3 linked regions of the Danio rerio genome follow. The protein of the gene in region 1 binds, or shares a complex with, the protein of each later gene. Links are inferred from orthologs where the notes say so. Each region holds a gene or a part of one and is shown in the gene's direction. Other genes may lie near its edges. The genes, in order: nup153, nup107 and nup205.

Region 1 (4,370 bases):
ACAAATTACAATTAAATTAACAAAAAAAATTCATTAATTTTCTTTTTCGGCTTAGTTCCTTTATTAATCAGGGGTCGCCACAGTGGAATAAAATCGCCAACTCATCCAGCATATGTTTTATGCAGCGGATGCCCCTCCAGCTGCAACCCATCACCGGGAAACATCCATACACTCTCATTCACTCACACACTACAGCCAATTTAGCTAACTCAATTCACCTAGTGCATGTGTTTGGACGGTACGGGAAACCGGAGCACCCGGAGGAAACCCACGCGAACACAGGGAGAACATCAAACTCCACACAGAAATGCCAACTGACCCAGGCTCGAACCAGCGACCTTCTTGCTGTGAGGCAAGAGCGCTACCCACTGCGCCACCGCGTCACCCCAAGAAAATTCTGAATAAATAAAAAATTATTTATTTATTAAAATGATACAAAATGAAACCATTTATTAACAAACAAATTTGTATGTAATTAAATGAAGATTATATTTAAATAATCTAATAATAATAAATTATAATTAGAAAAAAAAAATCCTAAATCAAAATCAAATAAATTACACGTTAAATTGTTAATATGAAATTTATTTAAACAAACAATAAATACATGAATTACATTAAAATGATGAAAAAAATGTCAGAAGCAATTAAAAATTAATAATAAATGCATCACAAAAAAGCAGAATTAAATAAATAAAATTAGTATAATTACAAATGAGTATAAAAATCAATTAGAAATATAATTAATAAATCAATACAATGATTGCATAAAGTAAATTAAAATAATATTTGGTACATTATTTAAAACAATTAAAAAAAAAAAAAAAATATATATATATATATATATATATATATATATATATATATATATATATATATATATATATATATATATATATATTGTTTCAACTGCAAAGCGATGGGTAGTATAATCGCCTCACAACAAGAAGGTCGCTGGTTCGAGCCTTGACTGGGTCTGTAGGTGTTTCTGTGTGGGGTTGCATGTGTTGGCGTGGGTTTCCTCCGGGTGCTCCGGTTTCCCCCACAGTCCAAACACATGCGGTACAGGTGGATTGGGTAGGCTAAATTGTATGTTGGTGAATAAGTGTGTATGGGTGTTTCCCAGTGATGGGTTGCGGCTGGAAGGGCATCTGCTGCGTAATACATATGCTGCATGAGTTTGCAGTTCATTCCGCTGTGGCGACCCCTGATTAATAAAGGGAATAAGCCGAAAAGAAAATGAATGAATGATATCTAATATCTAATATTTATGTTTACACTACATAAGCTATGGGTGGTTATACAAGAACCATTCATGACTGCTAGATGTTTATTTCTGGCATGAAGATGAACATATTTGGAGAAACCACTGTTTTAAAAATGAAACAGAAAGTATCTTGACCTAATTTACTAAATACCTCAGTTTACTCACATCTACAAAAGCAAAATCCCCTACCACCCGAACGAAGTTCCTACAAACTGACGTCAATAGTGAACGCGCATGAAGTGTCCTCCTGAACTACATATCCCATGAAACCCAGCGCCGCGGTGGCTGACGGTATATTGGAGGGCCGCGCTGTGACAGCGGAGCTCTATCCGGCGAGCGCTACTGAGCAGACTCAATCTAGTTAACCATGGCGGCGACAGGAGGAGGGAAAATCAGATCCAGAAGACACCACATTGCGTCAAAACCCTACGCCAAAGGCAAACAGGTAAACAAAACCAACATGAAGCGCCAACAGCGGGGAATGTAACGGTTATTAACGGAACCCTAACCAGCGGTTTGGCGGCGGGTTTTGTTTTTGTGAAGCAGGAGACATTTTGAGGCCTGTTTTAGGCCTGTTCACGTTCTTCCAGCACACGCTTTCCACACCGCCAACTCATTTGACTGATAAAACAAAGCCACTCGGTGAGGAAAATACTCGAAAATATGGCGACTGAGAAGTGAAATTTGAATGTGTTTTCACTGAGGTGAAGACAACCGCGTGAACGCGTTTCATACCCAAACCGTTAGCCGTTAGCTGCGGCTAGCACCGGCGTCAGATATAATCACTTCAGTCCAAACAAACCATTAAAACTTGGTTTTCGTAGCGAACGATTTCCTATTTAAGTTCTTTATACTCTTACTTTGACTACATAACTCGCGTGTGTCGCTCAGAGTGACTCCACATGAGAGTAATGAGCTTCAGAGCACTTTTTGTGTGCGTGTTGTTATATTTGTAAGTTTTAAGCTTGGTTGATGATCGTTTTGGATGTGATTAGAGATTAATATAACGGTATGTTTTGGCGTACATTATGCTGCTTAACGCAGTGGGGTTTGACATCATGAAGAAAGGCGGGATGAGCGAGTGTGTGCGTGTCGTGGCGTGTTTTCATCTGCACATCACACACACACTGGAAATCCTGCACTCATGTTATTTCATAAAGAACGTAAAGGTGTTGTGATTAACACAGGTTCGTGTGTGTTTTCATTAACAACAATTTTAATTAGCCTTATAGTGATCCTGAATTCATCATAAACAGTTATTCTGATAATTCATAACCTAAACACTATGAATCATAGTTGAAAATCACTTTGCATTTTTCGTGATATTACTAGATTATCTGTTTTAGGCAAATTAAGTGGGTTAGAGAGGCACATAAGCTATTTGGCAGTCAAAAACGCATTTTCTTTTGTGTGAGGTTTAATTAGAAGTTAGAAATAGTCGATGCATAGTGTTATGTGTAGGATACTGTAAAAATGAGACTGTTGATGTATTGAAAAATCATGAAATAAACTGGTTCGTGTTCAGCATGGTCAAAGTGTGTATTCTGGTATATTTAGTAATTAACCCCACGTAGAAATGCAAGATGTGAAGGCAGTTTAAAAGTCAGGGCGGTACATACTCGTATTTTTGTTGACATTTGTGCATCATTGCGCCTTGTTTTTATTTTCTACTGTCAATAGATTAATTGCACAGTATATTCTTTTTTTTCCCAATGAATTTAAGCCCCTCATTAATAAGGTTTTAAAACTGCATGTTCCAAGCTTAATAAAAAAGCAAGCACTTTATTGAATCTAGCTTAGGGTACATTAATTATGTTTATGCTGATCTATTAAAACCACAAGAAATTTTGTATTCGCCATGATCGGCCTGTAGCTCTCTGTGACTTACTGAAGAAATGCTGTGTGCTCTAGTTAAGTATGCTCATGTTTATTAGTGTTGTTTTGACTGTTAAATACTTGCTCATGCGTAAATATGTTATACACATACGAATAACCTCTCTGCTTTCCCCAAATCACTTTTTATTCTTTACCTGGTTACCTGAAAACAAAGTTTTTTTCGTTTTTGTTTTCTCCCAAAAAAGCCACATTTTACTGGACTGTCCTGCTTTTAATGATTCCAGAAGACTTTTTTTATGAAATTAACTCTTTTAAGGACATTTTTAACAAGGTGAAACTAGAAAAGATTTTAGAATTTCTATCATGCATCAACACTAAAAATCCTATTTAATTTATGTATTCTTTTGTTTGTTGACTTTTAATTGTGTATATATATTGTTGAAAGGTTCCTGCTATGAAAATAGCCTTAGTTGCTGAAATGGCATTAGATAAATACATTACATTACATTCCCAAAAAAGCCATAGTTGTAACCTCTTTATAAAAAGTATGCTTTGTCAGGCTTATAAATGCTGGGGCACACCAGGTTTACGCCTTACAACTAGCGCCAATGAAAACCGTTTGTAAGATGATTTGTTTTATTACTTTGCTTCGCAATAATCTGTTTTGTTGTTCAATACATGAAAACCGAACTTCCGACATGCACATGCAAAGTAGAGGTGTAAACCTACACTGGCCTCACGGTTCGGTTACGATTATCATGCCATCGATTCTATTCATTTCGATATCTCGGTGCATCACTGTGCATTGTCTGCTTTTTATACTTTATATGTGGATGTTTTGCATTTTCTGATTTGTTACCCTAATGTACAAGTCGCTCAAACTTACTCATTAAGATGCGGGAACCGGCAGACGTGCAACAGCATTAATCATAAACACAAAACTACAGTTTCCATCCGGAGCGACTTCACAGACTCTCGACACTTGTAAACACTCACTCAAACAGGTTGGCGCGGATCTCTGTCTCACCCACACTGGTCACAGCTAACAAGCTGACCTATTACAAAGCTTGTACTATGCGTCGTTGTGAAAGTATAGTTATATTTCTTGAGAAGTGTGCGGCAGCCACTGCGAGTGCTATGCAACTGCAAAGGCTGCACTGGAGCATACAAGTGCGCTTGATGAAGAAATGTAAATCAGCCTTAATTGTCTGCTTGCTACATTACTTCAGTTTTTATTTTTGCACTCTGATTGGTTGCTGAATAACCA
Region 2 (3,657 bases), on another chromosome or scaffold:
ATAATTTAGCCTTTGACTGCAAATTTAGTTGGTGTTAGTAACATTTTTGTGTGCTGCTGTTGTTTGTTTGCTCTCCAGAACTTGGATGACAGTGACTGGACGAACAGTCTTTACCCATCTCCTCTATCAGGAATAGTGGACACAAGCTTTACTGACGACGTTAGCATGAGTGCTCTGATGCTGAAGGAAGATGATCCTGGAGAGGCTGGTGAATACTCTTAGTAATTCATAATCACAAATGAAGCGGTCAATTGACATGATTTTCAGCTCTTCTGTTTTCTTCTCTTAGCTTCTCTTGGTTTGTTTCCTGAATTCCTGGAGTCTTATTTGCGTCATGCGTCCACAGCCGTGTTTGACCTGTTGGAGGAATATGAAGCTCTCTGTCAAGATAAGGTACACTAGCAGTACATAATTTAAATTTAAATATATATATATATATTTTTTTTTTTTTTGATCGTTTAGGCTGTATTAAACACAAACAGCATATATTTAATATTTTTATAAAAAAAAATTATTATTATTAACGTTGAATTTGTATAATTCAGTTTTTCTGTAGATAAACAATTATAATACATTCAGGACCTTTAGGACAAAATTTTCATTTTTGCTATTCCATTTTTTTTCTGTTTAAGCAAATACTCATACATACTTTGCTCAAATGCATCAATTGTGTTTACAAGACATGCATATTGTAATGTTGGTTTAGAAAATGTTAAATATTTTGACACATTTTTTTCAGTTTTGGACCATCGAGCAAATAATCTTTTTTTTATTCAGCTTTTTAGCACTGCTGGAAAAATGTATTTAAATGATGTAATTATAATTCTGGTTTTTGTGTTGTATGGATGGATAGCAGAGTTTGTTTTGTATGTAGTACATACTGAGAGATTTTGTTTTTTATTTTATTTTAGATTATTTTTTGTGCAGCATAACTTAAAAAGTGCATTAAAATAAATGTTATTTCAGATCCTTGACTTATCCAAGACTAATAATCCTACGTATTAATCCTGTAATACATCTTCTTACCTTTAGTATATGTGTGTATTGAGAGGAGATTGTTTGTTTTTGTGTGTTTTCCAATAAAACAGTAACATGTAAACTAATTGTAATTTTAAGGATTAAAATCATTTTATTTTTCCAAGTAATCATCAGCACTGATTTGAGTTGTTTAAGAAACTAATACTTTTATTATGTTTTTTTACTCTCGGTTGACCTATGTGTAACTGTTTTAAAATTCACACACAATGCTTGAACAAAAATATGAACTTGTTTGACAAAGGAATTTTGATAAGTAGCTGTATGTAATGCATAAAATATTTTCATATTCTATGTACTGGTAAGTGATTTTATGCTAAATCTGTGTACTGGTAAGTGATTTTATAAAAAAAAAAAAAAAAAAGACTATAGTCTTTAAAAATGACTTTAGTTTTTAGTGTTATAGCAAGTAAAAATATTGGCACAACAAGTCATTACTAATGCACTGTCCTGACTTGTAGGTCAGTGTGTTGCAGAAACTGGTTCTCCGTTCAGCCCCTGGCCAGCAGAAATCCTCCAAGACTGTCAGCATCACCTGGTTATTGCAGCAAGAGATGGTGACCTGGAGACTTATCACCTCTCTGTACAGGTACAACACACTCATACATTAGACCACACACACTACTGTTTTGATGAATGCATAAGAAATAAGTTGTTATTGAAGTTTTTTGTATTTAATCTATATTAAGCTTGCCATAAAATACCCATGAGTTGCTGATGTGGCAAATTTATCAAAATTGACAGCATTTCAAATCTATTTCCATTTCAAATGAATATTTTTGATGTTTTTTTGCTTAGTTTATCTAAAAATGCAAAAATGTTTCAGTTTCCACACAAATATAAAGCAGCACAACTTTTTTCAACATTGAGTTTAATGAGAATTGATTATTTACTGCTAAATCAGCAAAGTCGAGGGATTTTTCAAAGATTATGTCTCAATAAAGACTGAAGTAATGGCTGCTGTAGTAAATTAAGCTTATCTATTACTATTCACTGCTGTTTTTTGATCAAATAAATGCTATGTAAATACAATATTATGAGTTTAAATAAACAATAATAATAATAATAATCTTATTAATACCAGACTTTAAAACAGTAGGATTTTTAAATATCTGAATACTATTACTTTTTTGCTTATGTATTGTTAAAACTCTCTCAAACACAGAGACAGAGTTCAGACTGTTTTAGAAGAAGACATCATGATGGATATTACTGTAAGTGCATGTGTGTTTCTTTCTACTCTTCTGCTTGGGATAGAGCTGCGTAATTCTATAAAACCAGAGAATCACAATTTTATTTGTATTTTTTTGCTTGTTTGTTTAAATAGAGATGCAGTTTTATTCTGATTAGACAAATTGACACAATGTCAATTAATTTACTGGAGCTTTTATATAATTTTATTTGCTGCAATCAAAATGCAAAATATGTAATTTTTTTTTATTTAAGATTCTTTTTTATTTGGTTTAAATTAATGTTTTAAAAACTCCTAGTCAATATAATACAGTGTCCGTATCAGTTTCATTTAGACTGTTCGCCCTGGTGTGTGCCATGTTTTTACTCATGGACATCTCACTTTGATATGAACTGTTTCGTGTTGTGTTTTCTCTGGAGATGCCCAGTGAGAGTGAGAAAGCAGTAATGGAGCAGTTCTTCCAAAAGGACAGTATGGTGCGACAGAGCCAGGTAAACATACATCCATTTTACACCAATATATTTTTACATTGAAAAAAAAAAAAAAGCTCAATATCTGATGTGTGTTTTTATTTAGCTGGTGGTGGATTGGTTGGAGAGTATAGCAAAAGACGATATAGGAGACTTCTCGGATAACATTGAATACTATGCTAAATCTGTGTACTGGTAAGTGATTTTACCACTCATTTATGTCTTTGAGAATGTCTCAGTATGTCTAAATAAAATTTTTTATTAATCTGTTTGTTGGTGTGCAGGGAGAACACACTCCACACGCTGAAGCTGAGGAGGAATCAGTCCAGTGGTGGTTTAAGCAGGCCACTGGTCACTGAACTGGATCCCGATGCTCCCATCAGACAGAAAAGACCCCTGGCAGACCTGGACAGAGAGGACGACTCTCGCCTCCTCAAAAACCTCTTCAATCTCATACGAGCTGGCATGACTGATGAGGTATGTGTGTATGTTAGTTGAGATGCTTTATTAATTCCCTTAAACGTATAGGTCACCCTACATTTTTTATTTCCTTACTCAAATGGTTGTACATATTATGAATTTCCTTCTTCTGTTAAACACAAAACAAAATATTTTGAAGCAAGCTTGTTAAAAGCCGCTTTTGCACTTAATCTGGGAACAAAAATGCTGTGGAAGTCAATGGCTGCTTTTTTTCTCCAATATTCTTCAGTATATATTACTTTGTTTTGAACAGAAGAAAAAAACTCAAACAGATTTGGAGCAAATCAGTAAACAGAATTTAGATTTTTCAGTGAACTGTATCTTCATGGGAAAACTTGTTTGCCACTGTTATACATGATTAATGAAACGGTAAACACAACACCACAGGCAGTCTATGCAGAAATGACACACCTTGTTTTTAAAACTAGCTGCAGGAATGTTGAGAGATCTTGTGCATGAATCTGTAAAACATAACCTCCT
Region 3 (3,657 bases), on another chromosome or scaffold:
TCACCTTATTCTCCGCTGACGAGTGGGCGCTGCCATTTGAATCTTTTTGGCTTAAGACTTCCGGTCTCATTCACTTCCATTAATATTTTGACGTTAAAAACTGCTCATTACGCTGCTTTATGATGCAATTTGATATTTTGTTATTATATTATTCTACTTGGTCTGTATAGTCATGCAAACATTTGTTTGTAAAGCAAGTAGTTTGACCGTTTTCTGCCGTTTATTATTCCTAGTCATTTCTCCCATAGGCGACTGAATCGGAAGTTCTAAGACAATCGCAAAAACAGGCGCACTTCCGCATTTTAGAATAAGGTCAATATGACAATTCAATAATTCTAATCTTTGTTTTGGTACAATACAGTGCAGCATGAATACCTTGTTATGAGTACCTTGTTTTGGTGTGCTTTATTACAACACATTGTAATGACGGTTCAAATGATGGGTGTTTACAAAAGTTTATACAAATTAACAGTGGAAGCGATCAAAGTAGCTAAGCATTTTAAACCTCATTACCCCTACTTTGTGTCATCTACTTATAACCAGATTGACAAAACGGCATCTTATTATCAGGTTTAATCAAGGCATTACAAAAAAAATATTCAGTTCAATTTAATTGTTTTTTCATTGTATATTATATGCTGGTTGATGGCACCCATTTACTTCCATAATATTTTATTTTCCTTCTGTAGAAGTCAGTGAGTGCCATCAACCAGCATTCTTCAAAATATCTTCTTTTGGGTTCAGCAGAAGAAAGAAACCTTTAAATGTTTAAAACCAATTAAGGGAGAGTAAATGCTAAACACATTTTTTTTATTTTTTGGGTCAACTATCCTTTAAAGTATGCCGTTCAGAGATTTTGTATAATATTTCCAGTCTTATTTTGACTTGTCAACTGATTGAGTCCATCTTTATTTCCTATAGAAAATGAGATCGCGGCTCTGTCTCAGATGTCCTGGCTAATGAAAACCACAGCAATCGAGCTCCGAGTGACCTCACTGAACCGCCAGCGCTCACACACACAGAGACTCCTGAACCTCCTCCTCGATGACCAGCCACACACATTACACACAGGTAATACACACAGTTCCACAGAGTTCCTCACAGTGTCCAAGCAGCAGCATTGAAGTCAACACATTCTTTGTATTTGTCTTGCAGCAGATGGAGAGACCGGCATGGAGGAGGAGAACAGATCAGTCAGTGGTTTCCTGCAGTTTGGCACCGTCTCCAAGGGTAAGGGAAAGTATTGATACAGTAGCTACAAAAAGTGGTTTCATGGAATCAAAGGAAATTACAACTTGCATTTTACAACCTCCCTAGAGTTAAACAGTTGAGTTGAACCTTTTTTTAATCTATTAAGCCAATATCCAGGTCTGGTGGGAACACTTTTAGTTTAGCTTAGCATAAAGCATTTAATCAGATTTGACCATTAGCATCTTGCTCAAAATAGTTTGATAATTTTCGTATTAAAAGAGTTCTGCTCTTCTGTAGTTACATCATGTAATAAGACCGACTGAAAATAAAAGTTCCCATTTTCTAGGCCGATTCGGCTAGGAACTACTGTCTGGTGTAATAATCAGGAGTTTGCTTCTGTACCATGGCTGAGCAGACACAGTTACATTAAGCAGCAATGATTCTATTTTCAGGGCTGCATAATACCATTGATCCTGGTGGAGCCATAGTTCAGCAGCAAATTCACTTAATCATTACTTCAGAATGAGAATACAGCCATATCAACTTAGAAAATAGCAACTTTTCAGTTTTCCTTGGTCTTAGTACATGATGTAACTACAGAAGAGTCAAACTTTAAATAGGAAAATTATCAAACCTCTTTTTAGACATCTTTGAGTGAGATGCTAATGGTCTAATTCAATTCAATGATTTATGCTAAGGTAAGCTAAGCTTAGGGTAAAGTGTTGCCCCAAACCAAAATGCTATCTTAAAGGTTAAACTGAACCCTTTAACTCTTGGTGACATGAAAATCAGCCTATTTCCAAATAATAAAAGTGTGAAATAATGGTGTTCCTTTAATCATGGTGATCTCTGGTGGTTTTAGTGCGCAGGAGGCTGCTCAGTGTTTTGGATGCCATAGATTTCAGTCAGGAGGCACCAGAGCTTTTGCAGCTGGACTTCTTTGAGCGCACTCAGATCGAGCAGGTCATCACTAACTGTGAACATGTCAACGAGCAGGGACACACCGTCTGCAATGTCAAGGTACATGGATGAAAAACTGAAAAATATTATGTTATTAAAAAAATAATACAAAAAGTATTAAGCTTAAAACTTTTAAATGAAATAGTCTATTCCAATGAAACGCCACAATAATATATATATATATATATATATATATATATATATAAATATATATATATATATATATATATATATATATATATATATATATATATATATATATATATATATTATAAATGTTTTAAATTCAGTTAGGAGGTCATGGCCTGATGTGTCAATCTACTATTGGTGCACAACAAAATAGCCAAATGAACTGAAATACATTAAACAAAGCTAAAGAACTGAAAGGACGTAATTTCTATCAAAATTAAACAAAATTTGCCAATTTGTAACAGCTCATAAACACAAACTTTTAGGGGAGTTTGGCTCCTAAACACTTTTGAAGCACTATTGGTCTATATTTACATTTTTTATTAAAATAATAAAGTGGCTATAAAAACTATCCTTTTAATAAAAGCTTCATCAGTATCTAAGCAAAACTGAAATAACACTTGTATAAATCAAACAGAAATGATGGCGGCATTCACTATAATCAATGTTTATTATAAATCCCAAGTCTAAAATTAATTTCAGGTGAATCTAGTACTCTAATATCTCATTCATTACACAAATGAGAATGTGCTTTCTGTCTGCTTAGTTTTTCTTGGTATTTCATTATATGTCACTTTGGATGATCTGCCTTATTTTTCAGTGCTCCAGTTTTCTGTCAGTGGGCCAGATATCAGAATTATTAGCCACTATAGGGGAATTATAAGCAGAATAACAGTGAAGTGCAGCAGACAGTAATGCTGTGCCACATAATTAGGAAAATATTATAATAAAAATATTGGTTTGTTTATTAAGCAGCAATATTAAATGTGCTGTTTGTACATCTAAAGATAGATGGAAGCCAGACACATTACATATATCAGTGTATTCAATAAGTTACTGCCCATTTCAGTAAAAAGACATTGCTCAAGACCAAAATAAAACATTACTATAAGAATTTTTTTTTTCGGATTACTGTTTTGCAGTTGCTGCATCGAGTTTTAGTTGCAGAGATCAATGCACTACAGGGCATGGCAGCCATCGGGCAAAGACCACTGCTAATGGAGGTGGGTTTATCTATGATATTTTTTCAAGGCTAGGCATTAAAAAAAAAAATCTTGCCTCTGACTGTCTTGTTTTTGTCTCCATCCCATCAGGAGGTGAATTCAGTCCTGCAGCAGGTGGTGGAAAGGAATCGCGTGCGGCGCAGTCTCAGTGCCAAGCGCCATGCTCTGCAGAGCTGGAGGAGTCTGGTGGAGACCATCCTCACCGCCTGTCCTTCAGAACTCATCCCTGCAGACCAGCGGCAGCTCATCATCAGAGATCTGCTGCTCGACCTGCATGACAAGGTACACTACTTAAAAAAAAAACATTATTATT

The links.
Region 2: nup153 (region 1) and nup107 share a complex: the UniProt entries of both Homo sapiens proteins name them as parts of the nuclear pore complex. The link is inferred for Danio rerio from reciprocal best matches to the Homo sapiens genes NUP153 and NUP107.
Region 3: nup153 (region 1) and nup205 share a complex: the UniProt entries of both Homo sapiens proteins name them as parts of the nuclear pore complex. The link is inferred for Danio rerio from reciprocal best matches to the Homo sapiens genes NUP153 and NUP205.

What each region holds. Positions count from the first base shown.
Region 1 is NC_133194.1:48,945,538-48,949,907, reverse strand, and holds the start of nup153 (nuclear pore complex protein Nup153), read left to right. Parts: upstream 1-1,557; 5' UTR 1,558-1,634; coding exon 1,635-1,712; intron 1,713-4,370. UniProt on the Homo sapiens protein: Component of the nuclear pore complex (NPC), a complex required for the trafficking across the nuclear envelope. Functions as a scaffolding element in the nuclear phase of the NPC essential for normal nucleocytoplasmic transport of proteins and mRNAs.
Region 2 is NC_133179.1:23,343,362-23,347,018, reverse strand, and holds part of nup107 (nuclear pore complex protein Nup107), read left to right. Parts: intron 1-78; coding exon 79-208; intron 209-289; coding exon 290-393; intron 394-1,496; coding exon 1,497-1,624; intron 1,625-2,200; coding exon 2,201-2,249; intron 2,250-2,646; coding exon 2,647-2,718; intron 2,719-2,803; coding exon 2,804-2,892; intron 2,893-2,981; coding exon 2,982-3,174; intron 3,175-3,657. UniProt on the Homo sapiens protein: Plays a role in the nuclear pore complex (NPC) assembly and/or maintenance. Required for the assembly of peripheral proteins into the NPC. May anchor NUP62 to the NPC. Involved in nephrogenesis.
Region 3 is NC_133193.1:13,606,302-13,609,958, reverse strand, and holds part of nup205 (nuclear pore complex protein Nup205), read left to right. Parts: intron 1-921; coding exon 922-1,071; intron 1,072-1,155; coding exon 1,156-1,230; intron 1,231-2,053; coding exon 2,054-2,211; intron 2,212-3,263; coding exon 3,264-3,344; intron 3,345-3,434; coding exon 3,435-3,626; intron 3,627-3,657. UniProt on the Homo sapiens protein: Plays a role in the nuclear pore complex (NPC) assembly and/or maintenance. May anchor NUP62 and other nucleoporins, but not NUP153 and TPR, to the NPC.